2 linked regions of the Arabidopsis thaliana genome follow. The protein of the gene in region 2 interacts with the protein of the main gene of each other region in a pairwise test. Each region holds a gene or a part of one and is shown on either strand. Other genes may lie near its edges.

Region 1 (9,273 bases), on a different chromosome or scaffold from region 2:
GCTTAAGAACGTTGCATCATCTGCCGTGTTTATGAGGCAGCCCATGAAAGTAACATAGCTCGTCATTTCGGTCGTGCCTTGCACGTTAAATTGCTCAAAGGCGACGCAGTTGATTAAAAGCGAGCTGAAAAAGTCATCAAATAGTAGTGGCGGTATTTTAAGTACACCGTTCTTGAGAGTTATGTCAAGAGGTGTCTCAAATTTCTTCTTTTGTTGGAATTTTATTCCTCGGAGTCGAAGTTTTCTAGCTGAGACAACCAACTTGAGGAAACGGCGAGGAGGCGGTGTTAGTGGTTTTGGATGTGGTTGTGTTAGTGTTGGTGGTGGTGGTGGTAGTGGTGGTGTTTTTGTTTCTATTGGTGGTGGTGTTGATGTCTCCCTTTGAACTTTATTTTTCCAAGGACTTAACATATTGAAGCATCTGGAACCGCAAAACATATTGGTCCACCTTTCTCCTTCGGCTTTTTTAGGTTGACTTGGTACGAAAGTCTTACGGATGAGATCAAGAAGATGGCTTGCATCAAGATTCATTCTTTCATCCCAAAATTTTTGTGGCCTTTTTATCGAATAGCCAAAAAAGTTGAAGATCATCTCATTTAAGCTAGTTTTAGTAGCTAACTTTGTTGTGTTAAAAAGATCTCGAAGAAGGAAAAGCGGAACCTGATTTTCAAGGAGGAGGAGATCACTTCGTAGAGTTGGTAAAATCCACCTCAACATGAAGATGGGATCCTCAAATGCTTTATGCGGAACCTTACGTGAAACCAAGAGGAACAACATAAGGATGAAGCAACCATCAAGAACCATGAGATCGATCAGCTCTACTTGATTAAGTTGTAGTTCCTCGGAGTAGGAATCTCGTATGAGATGTTCCTTTTTCCAGACCACGTTTTGCAAGTCTTCTATGCCCACGCCCTTTTTCGTAGTCTTGGACAAGAAGATATCAAGATATCGTTGTTTGTGCTGCTGGATCATCTTAAAACGTGCTTTATCCGCTTTATCGGCTTTATCGACTTTATCAGCTTTACCGTGATCATGGTGATAAGGACCGATCGAGACAATCTTCGGTTTGTACGCTGTATCATTGGATTGAACGAGAGTGTGAGGGATTCTAAAGATGCAACAAGATTGGTGAGCTGCTGAATTTCTCAGAAGTATTTTGGAATCTTCATCTACCCTTCGGATTTGTACGATGCAATCATCTTCCCCTGAAATTGTTGTGCTTCCTCCAGTGTGTTGCTTGGGAAGATACATGGCTCTCATCTAGTACTTGTATTTTTCTTGATCTTTTTTCTCTTGACAAGAAAATATCAAACGGTTTAGTGAACATTAAAACGAAAACAAAATGATTATTGTAAGACCATCAAATGAATTAAAGACCGAAATAATGAATTAACAAGGTCTAACATTTATTATCATCAAAAAGTCACCTTATGATCTAAAAATTATGTCAAGAAAATTAGATAATTATATCAATTTGACCCAAAATAACAATAATTATGCACCTCTTATATATTGGCTCAGTTATATATTCGAAAATCTACCCTTCACCTATATATGAAAAATTTAAGAAAACGAATTTTCAGAGTCATGTCTCTTCCCATGCAATCCATTGTATAAGCTGAATTGAGGATAACAAAGCTGCAGATTTCATTATGTAAGTTTTCATTATAAATGTAATGTTACTAATCATAATCTATATTTCATACATATGCATAGTAAAATAATGGTCTATGATAAGGAATAAGAATCCGACAAACAAGAATTACGACATGCGCTCCATCTCTGAATCAGCTAATCAAAGATTAGATAGAAAGAAAAGCAGTCGTTGACTTTTACTTTCATGTGGCATTATAAAAAACGGATGGTTGTTATTATATACTTTCAACTTGATCTAGCTAGTTGCCTAGTTTGTTCGTCCAGACCACTACTAGTATTTTGTAAATAATACCAATTTTACTTTTCTTATAGTAAGCTGTGAAAGACATGTGGTAATAGAAATTATATAGAGCAAATAATTACGAGTGTATTAACGTAATTTTATATTATAAAATGCTAGTATTATATTAAGGGTGTCTTAAAAATAACAATAAACCCAACAAAAGTGTTTTAAAGAATACATTTTTGACATACTGTCTCACCTTATCCTAGAAAATTACTTTTCAATATTGATATTTCTTTTTAAAAATTATGTTAAGACACTTATAAAAATAATGCAATGGAAATGTTCTTAGGTTACATAAAGAATATTGACGTCATCAATAGGTGGTCTCATGCTCGTAGAATATCATTTGTAAATAATGTCGTTTTATATAATCCAAAAACAGACTTGAAACATAATGTAATTTCAGTTTTGTCATCATTAGCTTAGCTTATTCACCTAAAGAGTTAAACTTATATTGTTTATCAGTAAAAATATCTATAAGCTATAGAGGCTTCAGGCTTGCTTAAACAGTCCTTGTAATTACTTTCATAAATAGAATCTACGTATAAAAATATTATGATTTTATACACGTTTAATGCATGTGTGAAAAGGTTAAAAATATACAAAATAGACTTCCACAAATAGTTCCACTCATCAAAATTAAACATGACCTTCGAGGCAGAACATCACGAGTTGACGTAATGGTGTATGTAATCTATTCATTTATGTAAGATTCTATGTTTTTAAGCAAATCGTTTCTTTTTTGGTATCAAGCAAATCGTTTCATAATTAGCATATAATGTTTTCTAGTTTCTTTATCCTTTCAATGTGTCAAGCTTCATTTTCTATTAATCATTTTGAATAGACCGAACGCAAGAAGATGTGTGTGCTTCGGCCAATAGCAAGAAAAATCAAACCCTTGTAAATATTACATTTTCTCAAACAAATCCGGTTTTACATATTCTACTTCTGCTCCAAATATGAAAAATACTTCGGTTCAAATCCGGTTCACCCTCAGGAATTTAAACTTTGTTATTCACCCTATTTTATTTTGCTAATCATAATATACCACTTAATTAAAAATATTAAATTATAAAAATTAATTTGCCACCAAAAACAGTTATATATTAGTTTGAGTTTATAAGAAAATAGTTAAGATTAAAATTTAATAATTAAACAAGATAAAATATAGGTTTGAGTTTATAAACGAGTTTAGATTTTTTTCAACTAGATGAGGTTAATTGTTGGTATGAGTTTATAAAAAGGTTTACATTTTACATTTTTAAACGAGGTTAAATATATCAATTTGGGTTTAGAAAAAATGGTTAGGATTATAGACGTTAAAACTAAACGAGGTTAAATGTTGGTATGAGTTTGTAAAGGAGAATTATGGTTTAGTTTGTAAATAAACGAGGTCAAATTAAATGTTGGGTTTGGTTTATAAACATATTTAGATTTTACAATTAAACGAGGTTAAATGTGAGTTTGGGATTAGAAAGAATGGTTAGAATTTATATTTTACAATTAAACAAGGTTAAAATGTCGGTTTTGAGCTTTTAAAGATGAATGAGAGTTTAGATTTTATAATTAAACGAGATTATAGATCGATTTAGGTTTACACAAAAAGTGGTTGAAATTTATATTTTATAATCAAATGAATTTTTAATTTATTTATTAGATGATAGAGTTTTATTGGCCGGAAATAAACTCTTAGGGGTGAATATAAATATTGTTCTCGGATTATCTAATCAATAACATAAATACTTAAATAGTCACAATTCTCAAATATATACAATCTCATAAAAAGGAAAACATTATTAAATAGTTTTAGCTGAAAAATCTAGTGCAATCAAAAGTAAAACTGATCATAACGATCCCACGAGTCTGGGTTGTCAAATAACAAATCAGAATTAAAGTCAGCACTTTCACTGCCAGATGACGATGAAGGAGGATAAGAGCCTGATGGTGATGATAGATATTCTTCTATAACATCTTGACAATCTTGGTCATTACTGGTTATCTCACGGTACTGATCTATAGCTTGCTCTTTGATGATATCTTCTTCATGCTTAACCGATAAGGAGAAACCGTTCGAGCGGCTTTCCTTCTCCTGATCCTGATCTTTTCCGAATCGGATCATTTGGGTACTTTTAAAGTCATCTAGGGGATCTTGTCCGGCAATAAAAATGGCATCTAGATTATGTTCGGTTTTGCAAGTGTGGTGGCCAAAGTAAGTGGTTCGGTAAACCGGAGGATTGTCTTTGATCTTTTGTTCATGCTTTCTTGCTTCGCAGTTATGATCTTTGTTGTAAGAACATCTATAGTAACTCCTGTTACCATCATCATACACCAATTAGTATGAGTGATCGGGATAGAAATAATTATGATGAAATATGATTAGCTATACTATTTCTTACCTTTGGTGATTAGATTTTTTTATACTCTTTTGACCATATTTCCTCCAAAGATACCCGTCGTAGTAAATCGGATCCGGTGAATCGTCCCTCCAATTCTCACTTGAATTTGTACTATCAATCTTTCTGCAAACATGAGTATTATCAAAATATTAGCATTAAAATCAACATATACTCCTAAGAAAAAAAATACTTATATTAAGAATTGTGGTTTCATTTGGAAAAACAAAAACAAACTCAAAAAAGAAAACAAACTCATAAGTGTATACCTTTTCTTGGAGGGGCTCCCCTGTGGAGGAGGAGAAGAATCCCTAGAAGATAAATCAGAAAACTGATCATCTTCGGTTTCTGGTTTAGCAGATAAGATTGAAATGGCATTGGAAAAACTTTCAACGATCGATTTAGCAAGATCATAACTTGAAAGCGGTCCACCATCAGCCATTGGATGGTTGAGCCGCCTCTTCAACCGCATGGCGCAGCTATGGCCATAACGGATAGCTTGCACCGCCTTTTCGTGTGGGGAGTTCATTTCCATAGAGTATAGTGAACTTGTGTGTGTGTGTATGTGTTTCTTGTTTGTTTTCTTTTTCTCAAGTCTCTTCTCTGTGCTATAAACTTTTGAACGGATAGGGAGATCAGAATTTATAGGACTAGTCGTACATACACGTTCCCAAATGACTTTGCCAATTTGGGTTTACCAAATATAATTTACATACACTAGGTTATATTTTAAGAAGCCAATGATAAATTATAATTTCGATATAGGACATGTGCTCTGCTAGACTTATATGCGTGAATCTAAATAAAGAGAGACAAAAAGATAGATTAGGTGTTGACATTAGCATATGATCTGTCATGATGTATAGGAAACAGAGTTTATTTTATATACCTTTCCCAGTACGCGGCTCACTTAATTATATACAATCTGTTTTTAATTGTTTCAGAATTTATCTGTTTCTCTTATTACACTAATCTACGCGGTTCGCTTAATAATTAAAGATTAAAAATTAAAAACTACTCCTTTCAGAACACTAAAAGGTTTCAAGATAGGAGGAATCTAATAGAAAACTGTGTTCTACAAAGTCAGATATATTAGAGAGAGATATGAGCTATGATAAACCCCAAATTAGCAATGATTTTAAAATTTTCTTTTGTAATCTTTCCATTTCAATATGTGTCGCAATTTTTTTTATTTTTTTTTTGAAAATATATAGCAGATGAAATTTAAGAATAAATTTGTTTGCTTAATTTTGTTGATTGTATATCGTTAAATATTTTTTATTTAATATTTTGATAGGTGGTTTTAATTATAATTTATACGGTAACTAATAATATAGAGTTTTGAAAATAATATATTTTACGTTCATATGACAAAAAAAAACAAATGTATGTAATAGATTGGATGTTCACAAAAAAAAAAAGTATAACATATTTTACACGTCCATCGCAATGTTTACCTCATCAAAGATGAAACGTGTACAAATAATGTTTTTTTGCTCAATATAATAAGCTTCGAACACATATGATATGATCAATTCATTTTTTTGTAATGAAAATACTCCACTAGTCGTGGATATCTTTAATGGTAAAATTATCTAATTTTTTGGTGAGTTTTGGTTCAGATTTTAAATAAAAATGTAAGTATTTAGACCAGACAAAAGATAATTATTAGGTAATAGAATAACATTAACAAGTAAGATCTAGACAATTTTTCAACGCTTAAAGAGAGAAATAATTGCGATGTAGCTGGCGAGTGGCGACTAATGCACCAATGAAAACGGCATTAGTTTCGTCGGACACTCGACGTCAGCCCCATGACGTAGTTTTTGTTGAAGGGGCTGATTCAGCAGATTGACGTCAGAACGAAGCAGCAATGTTGATTATATTATATACTAACAACAACTAGTCAACTATGCCGTGATGTGAGATTCATTCGTTGGCTACTCGGTCCATATTTTAATTTAATCTAAAATTTTAAGAATTTATAATTAATAAGCTTTGCAAAAGATAACTGGTAATCTTGAATCCTTTTTCTTTAGGTAAACTTGAATCTTATATGAAAGAAAAATTAGTAATTACATTTTAAGCGGATAAAATGATATAATATACGTACAAAAGCTTGTTTTGAATATATAGTATAATCTGAAAGCTAACCAATCCAAGTTATACAATCATATTTTAAAACTAATAGATGGTCAATCCAAAACAATTTATCCTTATCAGATTGTATACATCGATGGTATTTTCAGGCCATGAATTAACACCATTCATGAAACTATACAACAAATTACAAAGTTTGTAAAGAATGTTAAGTTCTATCTACCCATCAATTTAACAACCCTATCTTCTTCTGCGGGTGGTTAATGTAAATTGATAGATATCAACACATAAGAGATATATATATATATATATATATATATATATATATATATAAACTTTCGCACGTGACTTTGATCTGATCTGTGAAACGTTGCCCACATGTATTTTGTTCTTGTTATTAGCAAATTGTTAAATATTGTATAGGTATTAGTACTATATTGAGTAAGGGGTCACATATGTACAAGTCAAGCAAAGCTATGGGTCAAGTCACATTATTTTATGGTGCGAAAGGAAAGTGAATGTGAACATGACTTACATGACAATAATGGTGATACATTTTTTTAATAATTTTATTTATTAGCTAATTAAACCAAGTAGTTGGAACGTAGCTTCCATGTCTTCTTTAATCTGACGACGACTTCAACAAAATTCCCCATTTTCAATAATCCTACAGAACTTTAAAACTTATCTTTATATTAACTTCTTCAGGACTTTTCAATTCAAGATATTTATCTTTGGATTCGTGCTTCCAGCTTTAGTCAAATATATACTTTTGACGTCCTGATTTTTCCAAATAAGGAAAAAAAAGATCCATCGTGCTTGCTCGTGATCTTACATTTTTCCTACTTAACTAATAGATGACCTCCCCAACTTAAATTTCTTAACCACATTTATCTATACAAAAGGACAGGCTACATCCTAGAAAGAAAATAATTAGCAACAACATTGAGACAATATATCGCTTTTTGGTTATATAATTAAGGATTTTATTAGACCAGGATGACAGGAAATTGTTTCGCCCTTTCAATAAGGCCATTTGAAATGCTTGAACTTTGTTATAATCGGAGTCGGTTATTGATAGTCAATTTTTGCAAATGAAGACTCAGGTTGAGTGAACTCAAAACTAACTAAGGATAGTTAGTGGACTACGGTTTCCTTGAACCACCTTTCAACAGACTTGTAGAAAAAAAAACACATGATCCAGCTACCTTCTTTTTCATTGTGGGTTTGTAAAATGCAAAGTAGCAAAACATTTTTCTAATGAAAAAACAAATGGGCTGGAAAGTATAGTTGTCACAACTCAAAATTAAGTAAGCCCAACAAAATAAAGACCTATTAGTCATTGTTCTTTTAATGACTTCTAAAGGTTATCGTTGTTTTTATATATAACAAAAATATACCTCGTATCATGACAGTACAGTAGGTCGGAACGGCCACCCGATCAACTCTTGAAGACGAAGACATAGGCATCGAAACACTCTGATCTCATCCAGAAGACCTATCTCACAACTTGGCTCTATAGTTTGCAACGCACATACCAGTTTTTATTACCCTCTTGATAGTTTATCCTCTAATCAACAAAAAAGTCATGGCAAATATGTTAATACTTTGACAAAAAATAAACAATAAGTTACCACACATGGTTAACACATTGAAAATAAGTTTTATACATACAGATAAAAATGGTGGAAAACTATGAAATTTACCACATAATCAATTTCTTTTAACCACATTCCATTTGAAATCTCGAAAAAATAGTACCAATAATGTTAGGCATCGGGTCGATATAATGTCATTTTCAGTGGGAATTATTTAAGAGCATGGCCACATGCATGCTGCTTTAATCATATCTTTAAAAGGGAAATAATGAAGAAAATAAAATTGATGGGTCCAAGTTTCATATGACTGGAGAAGAATGAAGGAGTGCAAGAAGGATCATAGAAAATAAATAGTATGGCTGAATCAAACTTTTTTGTAAAAGGGGTTCACAAAAGATGTTGAGCTGACACATATCCATGCACCATGTTTTTCTTTCCATTGGATTTTTTATGTCTCTCAGATCTTGTTCACATAAAAGAAAAGATTTTTATACCTTTGATTAATTAGGGTTGAGTGATTAGCATATTCAAATCTAACTCTTTTTTTTTATAAGAATGTAAATCTTCATTTTACAATGAAAAGTTGTTACACAATTAAGCATCACATGCCAAAAAAGGATTAAAAAAATATGGAAGCACACCACCTTCTTGCACCAAATCATCAAGGCAACCATTGCTAATGGTAGAAGACATCATGATGCAAGACAAAAATGTTTCCCTAAAATGAATCTAACTTGAAATGAAAGAAATTAACTACCAGGTCAACTGAATCCACTTTGGTATGATTTCAGTTTGGTTCTGTCAAATCAGGGAAAATTGATTTGAATTGTAAAAACCTTAAAATAGGATTAGTTACTCCTGTAGTTTCCTTTGGATCAATATATTCTATTGAATTTATTCACGTTTTTGGTCGAGGAAAATGTTAATTAATCCAAAATTTTCCATCATTTTGATTTTGATATAAGTATAACTACCTCATTTTATTATAGGCCAGTTAATTTTATAAGACGAAATCCGCCCACCCGTTAAAGATTGATATAATCATATCGATTTGATCGAGTACATGCATGAATATGGAGAAAATTACAACAAACCAAACAAATGTGAGGTTATTTTCAGTTCTTGTGGGTACACATTGTAGGGCAACTCAAATGGGACTTGAGAGTACCTGAATGAATCATTTCTCTTCTTCACATACATACTATAAGAAAATAAATAATACCATCACCGTGAGCAATAT
Region 2 (10,232 bases):
AACACTGTGGAAAATAAAAGAGAGAGAAAAAAAGGAGACATGATTCACACATCTGCAGCAAAAAGCATCCAAAAGAGAAAATATCTAAAACCTTAAGATTGTTTTCCAAATTTCCAGACAAAGCCTTAAGCAGAGTAGTTTTGCCACATCCAGGAGGACCAAGCAACAGTGTTAACCTTGTAAAAACAATAACATACATTAGCTCAAAAGCTTGGATCAAAAGAAAGTACCTCTTGCAACTAACCTTCCCGGGCTAATGATACCGCTAACATCGGTAAGTATTTTTATATTCGCTTCGTTTGTTCTTACACCACTCAGCTTTAACAAGTCCTGAAGAAAAAAAAAAAGTAGAATTCAACACCAGCTACAATCAAGCTTTCATCTGCATTACATTCTTGAGTATACTCACTAAGAAAACGTGCTTCAAAGAGTTCCATAAAGTTGGAAGTGCCTTCCCTTCAACGACCTCACACGCTGCTTCAACACCTAAGTGCTCATACCTCACCTCTATGCTTGGAAACTCCACACCAACCCTGCAGATTTTTTCAAGTTCAAGTCTCATACTTTCAAGAAGCATATTCAGTATTCACTATCAACCTCACCTCTCCATTCTTCTTCTGATTTTCTTGAGAAGTTTGAGATTATCATTCTCAATGTGTTTGATCAGCTTCTCAATCATCAAATGACGTTCCATGGCTCCAAGCTTGGTGACATCAACAACCTTTTTCCCTTTCTCCGTACCTTCACCATATTTGTCGACCAGAGACGATCTCAGCCGTTTAAAAGTTGGCAATCTCTGGATCTCAGCCCATTGCAGAGCATGTTCTGCTTCATCACCACCATCCTCATGCTCGTTTCTTGAAGAACTGCTCCTAAAACTGGATCCCATGTTTTTTTCCAATCTCTGCAAGCTCCACTCACAGTAACTATTGCTCTTCTTCTACACCCAAAGGAGCCATGCCTCAACGGGTCCCTATGTTCTTTGTCTCTCTGTTGAAATGCTCAGAAATCAATTAAGAAATATGCATTTGTCTCCTTCTTATGTATATGTGTAAAATATAATATATGAATTGAGTAAAATGTGTTTTCAAACAGTTAGGTGGTAGAAGGTAAAGGTAATAACATCATGATCTTACTAAAAGAATTGTTGCATACTAACTATCAATATTCTCAACAACATAATATAATGTTTTTTTAGGTAATTTTCCATTTTAATTTTTTGTGATTAAACAATTAAACAACTCGAATGATGATGATAAAAAAAAAAAATTAACAACTCGAATAAGTTAAAGTAGCAATACACATGTCGTTCAATTCAACCAATAAAGTAAGACTTATATTTTTAAGAAGTTGACTAATAGCTTAATAAGTTGGAAAACTTGTGTAGTTTCTTAATTCCCACGTGCAGTAAGAAATAAAAATGAAAAAAATTATTATATCCTTCCCACTCTGCGACTTTTCTTTTATTTTATCAAATATTAAAAAGATTCATATCACAGTTTACACATTGAAATCATAAACGATAATTATGTATTTTGTAATAAAAAGTTAGTTCTGAAGCTCATACTTTGGATAGTCGCTAGTCGCTAATATGCTCCTTGTAATAATTAAAGTCACTACGACGCACGTCAAAGCCGATATTTAGGGCTTAATTGATGCGTGTTTTTCTTTTCATATAATAGTAATATAAATTAGTACTAATAAAGTATGATGGATGGTTGAGACAGAAAAGAAAAAAGATGACTGTATGGTCATCATTACAAAGAAGAATGTATTCTTCATGTTCTTAAGAATAATAAAATGTCACTTGTAAATCAAGTTGGTAAGCATTTTGAGAACTTTGTTCGATGCAACGTATGATGATTTATGTAGACAAAAGATAAAACCGTATCTTCAACTATTGCCAAGAAAAGATAAAACCTAATCTAGTCAGTCTCTCAACATAAATACAACCCAATAGCCAAACTGTGTCCAATTCGGAGAGAAACTAAACTAAAACAAAACACAAAAGCCCAACATAAGCCCAATAAAACCCATTTTATAAACAGAACATTACTAACACTCATTTTTAGGGTTTATTCTTCATTGCTTGAGCTTCCTTCTCTTCTTCTTCTTCAAGCCGCGGCTAAAGATCCCTACTTCTCTCGACACTTATAGAGTTTCAGGTCCATTCTCTGATTCCTGTTTTTTCATTTTCTAATTTCCTATTTACGGGTTTTTACTAATCTTCTATTGATCCTCCAGTCATGGCCGCCTCCGCAGAAATCGACGCTGAGATTCAACAGCAGCTTACCAATGAGGTTAAGCTCTTCAACCGTTGGAGCTTTGATGACGTTTCGGTATATTCCTCACCAATCCCTTCTCTTAGAATATCTCTTTAGACACTTGAGAATTGTCTAGGATCTAATTCTTATTTAGCTGTATGATAGACATTGAAATGATTGGTTTATATTGATATGAGTAGTTACATTAGCTTTATTGTGTGAATTATATCAAATTATAGTCCTCACTTAGTCACTTACTAGATCTTAGCTATTATAATCTTTGTCCGTCTTCACTGAAACCCATGTTGTGTTTGTTTTGATTATAACACTAATTTGACACTAAAGGTCATGTATTTTTTGTGTTTTATATGATTGGTGTGCTAATATTTGTTTTTGATCTGCATATTGGTGTTATGTAGGTTACGGATATTAGTCTTGTGGACTACATTGGTGTTCAGCCATCGAAGCACGCAACTTTTGTTCCCCATACTGCTGGACGATACTCTGTGAAGAGGTTCAGAAAGGCGCAGTGCCCAATTGTTGAGAGGCTCACTAACTCTCTCATGATGCACGGAAGAAACAATGGTAAGAAGTTGATGGCTGTCAGGATCGTCAAGCATGCCATGGAGATTATCCACCTCTTGTCTGACTTGAACCCGATTCAAGTTATCATTGATGCCATTGTTAACAGGTATATTAAGATTGCTATACTGAAACCTGTAAAATTCTTGCGTGCTTGTTACTATGAACTGAATCTAATTAAGAAGGTTTGTTCTTTATGTGAATTAGTGGTCCACGTGAAGATGCTACCAGGATTGGATCTGCTGGTGTGGTTAGGAGGCAGGCTGTTGATATCTCTCCTCTAAGACGTGTGAACCAAGCGATCTTCTTGCTTACAACTGGTGCACGTGAAGCTGCCTTTAGAAACATCAAGACAATCGCTGAGTGCCTTGCTGATGAACTCATCAATGCTGCAAAGGGATCTTCCAACAGGTAAGAACACTCTATCTACATAGTCTGTCTCTTGATGGCTTCACTTTATTGTTAGTTAGTTAAGCTAATAATAGCATCTTCTCTTGTCTTGCAGCTATGCCATCAAGAAGAAAGATGAGATTGAGAGAGTTGCTAAGGCCAATCGTTAAGGGATCTCCCTTTCCTCTAAGTTTGCATTATATCAAAGAGTTTTTGTGTTGTTTCCATTAGCTTTGGATATGTTTCAGATGATCTCTCTATCTTTAATGAAATTTTGACGCTTATAATCGACTTGGGATCTTGATCATCAAACGGTTTCATATTTAAAATTATTTCATCTATATATTTTTCAGTTTAAAGTGCTATAAATCATGGTAGTTATATGGTTTCCAATTTGCTGCTACTCCAAGATAAAAGATGTAGATGGAGCCATGAAAAATTTCAGATAACTCAAACAATCTATTTTGAGTCTCTAAGGACACAACCAATGCCTCTAATTTCCCTGTCAGTCTTCCAAGCACCATGTACATTGCATTTAAAGGCATTTGGGCTCAATGGTGTCCATACCGTAAGTAGCATTTCTGGATGGCAAATCATGTGTATATGCCCACATGGCTCAAGTCGGGTGGTTAAGGGCTTCTCAATTCCGAGACATGACCCGCCTTTCAATCCTACGGACAAGATATACAAGGCGTGATCTTGACATGTGATTCTTTCTCCCTTCGACTCACGCCGCGAAAATGTAAACAAGTATCGGATAGATAACTCATTAAGCTTATGAGTTTATCTTATGTTCCTTGGAAAGGTAGTACAATACCAACGTGGTTACTGAGATCTAGAGGATTTCGATAGACCACCAATGTAATTGAGTTACACCGATGGAAATTGCATTATGTTTAGCAACGTGAACAGAAAAGAAATGGTCCCATGAAGTCAAATTTCTCAAGTTCGATAAACTAAACATATTGAAGAAAGTTACCCCTAAAAAATATAACACACGTTTTTATTTGGATTTGTTAAAATAACATCAATCTTCTTGTCCTTACAATCTTAATGTAAAAACAAATAAATTCACACGATTAATTAACTAATGTGGTATAAAGATTGAAGAAACAGGCATGAATTGATCAAATGGCTTTTGCTTAGGAAGTTGTGAGTGAAGAGCAAATGGTGATTGTATTTACCATTTGCTTCTTCTTTTTTCTCATTCTTAACAAAAAAAGAAAAAGAAAAAAGAAAAAGCATGAATGGATCATCAAATCAAATTGTTTGCTTAGAAAGTTGTGGGGAGTTAAAGGGAAGAGTAGAGGAAGATGGAGGGCTCAAGAGCAAATGATGATTATGTTTACCCTCGTAGGTTGTAATGAAAGCTCTTGGATCATCACTCGCTCGTTCAACATGTTTCCTTGCTCTGCAATTAGCACTTGTGCATCTGTAATAACTTCTTGGATACGCATTGCCTCCTACCACTTTTTGTCCATACTTTCTCCACCTGAATCCATCTTCAAGACTGTCTGATTCCACTGAGCCTTGCGATACTCCTGCTTCACTAGATTGCTTCTCGTTCTTCCTGTTATCAAACACAAAGTCAATACAAGCAATGTAAACAAAATTGCAGAAGTTAAGAGTTTGAAACAATCTTACCTTCTTTTGCTTCTGCTTGGATCATCAAGCTCTCCTTCATCACATTGGCTACTCTTGCAACCGGAATCTGAAGTTCCGGGATTTGAATTTGTCGATCTTGGAACAGCAAACTCAAATGGTGTAATAACACAACCTTCACTCATCTTCTCTGTTCTGTTTTGAGTAGAGTCATTGCTTTGATTGTTCCATAGAGGAGAATAGAGATTATTGTTAGGGTCTTGTCCCATTGATCCTTCAGAAGCAATCGATTTTGGTGGTTTTTGAAACCCTGAAGAGATTGATGATGAAGCACGCCGTGGAAGAGGACAAGATGGCTTTGAGTGATTATGTTCACCTTGATACACAATCTCTGAAACTTGACCTTCCACTGATCTCTCTACTTTCTTCTTCACCGGACATTTCGGGTGTGTGCATTTGTAATAACTCCTTGGACACTCACTTCCTTTAACTTGCTTCTGTCCGTATTTCCTCCAGTTGTATCCATCCACAGAAGATCTATCCCCAGTAGATGTCTCTGATTCCGTAAAAGATGGAACTTTCTGGACTAGATTAGGACCTGCTCGATGTGTACCTTGGCTCACACTCTTCCCATAGGATACTGCTTCGCTTTGTCTCCAAGTTTGTTGACGATTCCCCTGAAGCTAAAGAAAACAGAATTAAACAACATTCGAAAGTCAGTGACCTTGTTAGCTTTAAAATCAACTTACCATATTAGCCAATGCAGAGACGGTTGCTTTGGAGACAAGCTTTGCTTTCGGTTTATAAACGACGTAGTTTCTGCTATCTGAATCATCATCACAAGACATTCCATTTCCAATACCTTTTACTTCAGCCTATCATTATCAGAAATAGTTGAGTCAAGACTAGAGGATGCGGAAAGAAGATAACAATGCGAAGAATTAAATAGACAACTCGATACCCGTGGACATGAGACCGAAGCTGCTACTGGCTGATTGAATCTCAAAGTCTTTGGTCTTATAGCAGCGTCTACAATCTCGTGGCAAGTCGTTTGCGGAGATACGGTAACTGAATCAGTAAGAAGCTCAGTGAATGTCCTGAAGCCAGAACTTGAAGAAGGTCTTGAGGCAACTGGTTTTGCTATTACCACTCTTTCACCATCATTCACCTCCATTACTTGACCTTAATCAATTATGTAAGAGACATATTTATCAGATTCTATAGGTAAAGACTCATTTTTCCAAATTAGGAAAAGAAAGATGGAGCAAAATCAAAGAAGATGATTGGAGAAACATCAATTCCATTAGTACAAGATCTAGTTGCAAGTTATAGCATAAAGAAAGAAACTTGACTAGTGAATCATTACCAAAAGTAGAACACTCACGACGGTGAATGCAAAAACTGAAGTTGTGATAAGGATTTGAAGAATCTCTCCTTTTTAGGAGTTAGGGAACGAAGAAAATCTGATGGATCCAAATTGATCCGGATCCGGTTTGTGATTATTGAGAGATGATGATGTATTTCTTGGTATGAGTTCCTTGAGCTTTAGCCGACACTGTGATGGATACACGTGTCAGTATAGGGAACGTTGGATGGATCAAGGTCAGTTTTAGTCTCTATAGTGATGAAGAAGCCAATGAAAAGGAAAAAGAGAGATAGAGGAGATGGACACTCGTTGAACGTTAGTTGAAGTTGAAAGTTAGTTGGAAAACGCGGCCACAAGGAACGGTGTCGTTTGGTTTTAGTTGAAGACTACAGCGACCAAAAGAACTTATTGGTTGTTGACACGCGCACGAGCCTGTTCTGTTCGAAGTAAACACGTGAACTGAACTGTACCAACTTATTTTATTTTAACTCAACCCAACCAAATTGAATTCGGTTTATTTCGGTTACACCTCTGTTAGATAAGAGACGAAGAAAATTCAGTCATCTTGTCCAATACTTTTCACTACATGAGTTAATAAAATATTATTAAATACCACTACCCAATGATCATTTGACGAAAATATTTATTAAACCTATCAATTGTTACTTTGTTAGCTTGCAATTTATAACAATATTGGAGTTTCAACAAATATTGGAGTTGACATTATTAATTGTCTAACTAATATGTTAGGTTAGTTAAGAAGATTGTTGAAGCTAATCAATGTGGTTAATTAAGAAGATTGTTGAAGCTTAATCAATGTATATAAACACTTGTACACAGTTTTAGTTTCTATGAAGATTTCTCTTTTCTTATCAACTCTCCTCTCTACTTCTTCCTTGCCTTGTGATTCGTCAATAATTTTGCGTTAGGCATTTTCTGTAATCTTAAATCATGTTTTAAATTATTTCGTTCATGACAATGATTTCTCTCATCGAGACCTCTCAGTGAAAGGAGTTTAGTTCCGGTTAGCGTCAAAAACCAACAACATTACAGCTTTGATTGACCATCACAAAGGCAATCGAAGTACACGTTTGTCACTGTGATTTAGATTGCTATGAGCCAAGTCCCGTTCAGCATTTCAAATTGAATCTGTATTTACCATCCATACTCACGTAGGGAGAGTTAAAAACCAAAAAAAAATTCAGAGACGGCAAACGTAAAACAGAAGCTAGGTTTTGATCACAACAAATAACAGAGCAAGTAATACACAATGACCGATAATGAGAGCATCAATTCCATGATGTAAGGAACGATTCTATCCCGCACCGCCAATGCTAGGACAGTCAAGAGCTGGTTATAAGTTCCCGTTTAATCTATGCGGCTGTTTTACTTTACTGTCTGGTTGAGTTCTTTAACCAGCCAGCTCGGCCAGCCGCAATATCATCATTCATCACATTTTCCAAAAAAAACATATCACAAGAGCATAACGATTAAACTCAATGCATAACAAGTGGTGTAGAAGTATTGATACATTCCTGTAATGTCACTAGCAATCTCAAACAATCATGATACATCATATTTCTCTCATGGAGCCAAAATCCCCGGCTGGTGGAAAAATAATAGTTTGCGCAAGTGTGTATGATTATTTCTATTGAGGTGAAAAACAATCTAAGGTTTTCTTTTTACTTTTATTTCCAACACAAAATTGATTACGCATATGTATTCCACATGCAAAGAATTTTAAATACCGGGATTTGATAGTGAACTTATGCTGCGACAGACTGTTTCTCCTCGTAATCGTCAAGCCTTAAAGCTTCCAATAGCCTTGGCCATGACTCTGGGATGCCTCCAGGTAAGTCAAACTCCATAAGCTTTCCCTTGGTACGGTAGTATTCTTCAAGAGGCTGGCTCTGCATATAGAAAAATACAAAAAGGCACTAATTAACACCTGATCGTTCATAAACTAGCAATGGAAAAGGACAATAGAGGGGCTTACCGTTTCATTGTATATACGAAGCCTTGCTTTCACCACCTCTTCAGTATCATCAGCTCGAGTGACAAGCTTTGACATACATTGATGTGGAGGGAGAAGTGGATCCATACTAATTCCAGGTCTTCCATTCTCACCCTTTAAGTTGATGTGAGCTACATTAAAACCCTTGCCACATTGACTACATGTTCTCCTTCCAAGGCATTTGTCAACCAAAACTTCCTCAGGAAGCTTCAAATTCACCACCAAATCGATGTCAGTTACATCTCCCAGTATTTCCTGAACCAAAAGACAATCCACTGTTAGAAATGATAATGGAGATTGATTATCAAAAATTGCTTAAAACGAATAATACTTACAGCTTGTCTCATGGTACGAGGAAAGCCATCAAGGATAAACCCTGATTCACCTCTAGCTTCACCAGCCTCAAGTCTTTTGGACAATAAGTCTACAATGATCTCATCAGAAACCAATTTTCCCTGATTTACAATCTCCGATAGCTGCATCAAGTAACAAGAGATTGTTTAACAATTATGCATACAGATAACAAACAAAACAAAGCCATTGACTTTAATATATATGAATAGATCTGTTATGATACTGATCAAATGTAGTTAGAAACACTTTCAAATGGACTTAGCTCACTAGATCTATCGAGAGATAGACGGAAATTTTCAGATCCAATAATGAAAGTCCGATTAGCTAAACATTCAATTTCAGACTATATGGATCCAAAATCGAACAAAGAAGAGAATCTCCATCAGAATCACAGTAACAGAAAATGGGAAAGAAAAAAAAAGGTCGCACCTTTTGAGAGAGAGGTCCAGAAGATGCAAGCTCTTCACGGACGAGATCGCCGGTGGCGATGTGAGGAACGCCGAGAAGGGTTGATAGTCTACTAGCGTAAGTTCCTTTTCCAACACCAGGACATCCCAAAAACACCCACTGAACATTTCTATCTTTCGGAGCAACCCTGCTAGCTCCGCCGCCGTGAAGAAACGGCGAAGGCGACGACGCGTGGCTAGCTTCGGCTGAAGTAGAGTAGAAACGGTTACCAAAGCCAAAGAGGGAGGAGGATCTAGCCACACGCACTAATCTCGCCATTGCAGAAAGAGAAATGTAGAGAGATAGAAGCGGCTTGAGCTTTGAGCTTACCCTAAACAAGAACGTGCACGAACATATGCTCTTTAGATTCTTTTCCCATTTTGCCCTAAAGTTAACTGACGTGGCATGTGACTTTTTCTCTGAGATCATGGTTACATCATCTGACACGTGTAATAACCCAACTCCACGAGATTAACCAACGGTATGAGAAAATCGATTTCGATTTTAAATTGGGATTATTATTATTTTCAGCTTTCTCTGGAAGCAACAATGGCGATTGCTCTCTCGTCGTCGTCGACGATCACGTCCATTACTCTGCAGCCGAAGCTGAAGACGATTCATGGATTAGGGACAGTACTTCCTGGTTATTCGGTCAAATCTCACTTTCGTAGTGTCTCTCTCCGGCGTAGCGCCGTGGTCGTGTCGGCCATTACCGGAGCTTCTTCCGGTGAGCTTAAGTGTCTTCTCTTTCTATATTATATTGAATACGGAGATTCTAGATTACTTACTAGATTATATTGATTCTCCACAGGAGCTGGAATAGGGAAAGGTACAGCTGATTCGCTAGATACAGTGAAAGTCTTGGATTTGAGAGGAAATGAGATTCCGATTTCTGATTTATGGAAAGATAGGAAGGCCGTTGTTGCATTTGCTCGTCATTTTGGGTAATTTTCTCATTATATTTGATGATTCTGGTTTATGACTATGTGTAACTATCTAAGATTGCTTGTTATGTTTTCAGATGTGTGCTCTGTCGGAAACGAGCAGCTTATCTTGCAGAAAAGAAGGTAACAGAATGATCTTTGGTTTAAAAAGATTGGCCATTTATACACAATTGAAGTCATTGAGTGATACCTTTGAGATTTTTGTTTAGGATGTGATGGATGCATCTGGTGTTGCTCTTGTTCTGATCGGACCGGGAAGCATCGATCAG

What was found.
Region 1: the proteins of TTG2 (region 2) and WRKY38 interact in a two-hybrid assay, tested with the Arabidopsis thaliana proteins (one large-scale study listed by BioGRID).

What each region holds. Positions count from the first base shown.
Region 1 is NC_003076.8:7,491,838-7,501,110, forward strand, and holds WRKY38 (WRKY DNA-binding protein 38), read right to left. Parts: upstream 5,154-9,273; 5' UTR 4,871-5,153; coding exon 4,605-4,870; intron 4,462-4,604; coding exon 4,339-4,461; intron 4,252-4,338; coding exon 3,771-4,251; 3' UTR 3,618-3,770; downstream 1-3,617. Other genes in the region: AT5G22560 (transmembrane protein, putative (DUF247)), read right to left, coding at 1-1,260. UniProt on the Arabidopsis thaliana protein: Transcription factor. Interacts specifically with the W box (5'-(T)TGAC[CT]-3'), a frequently occurring elicitor-responsive cis-acting element.
Region 2 is NC_003071.7:15,641,057-15,651,288, reverse strand, and holds TTG2 (WRKY family transcription factor family protein), read right to left. Parts: upstream 6,479-10,232; 5' UTR 6,205-6,478; intron 6,021-6,204; 5' UTR 6,013-6,020; coding exon 5,800-6,012; intron 5,799-5,799; exon of another isoform or gene 5,714-5,798; coding exon 5,588-5,713; intron 5,522-5,587; coding exon 4,881-5,521; intron 4,807-4,880; coding exon 4,497-4,806; 3' UTR 4,213-4,496; downstream 1-4,212. Other genes in the region: ABCG33 (pleiotropic drug resistance 5), read right to left, coding at 1-176, 245-330, 410-533, 603-889; RPS5B (ribosomal protein 5B), read left to right, coding at 2,247-2,339, 2,684-2,955, 3,054-3,257, 3,352-3,406; ADK (adenosine kinase), read right to left, coding at 7,971-8,114, 8,201-8,473, 8,554-8,694, 9,002-9,298; AT2G37240 (Thioredoxin superfamily protein), read left to right, coding at 9,569-9,746, 9,831-9,963, 10,041-10,086, 10,173-10,232. UniProt on the Arabidopsis thaliana protein: Transcription factor. Interacts specifically with the W box (5'-(T)TGAC[CT]-3'), a frequently occurring elicitor-responsive cis-acting element. Regulates trichome development, production of mucilage and tannin in seed coats, and maybe root hair development.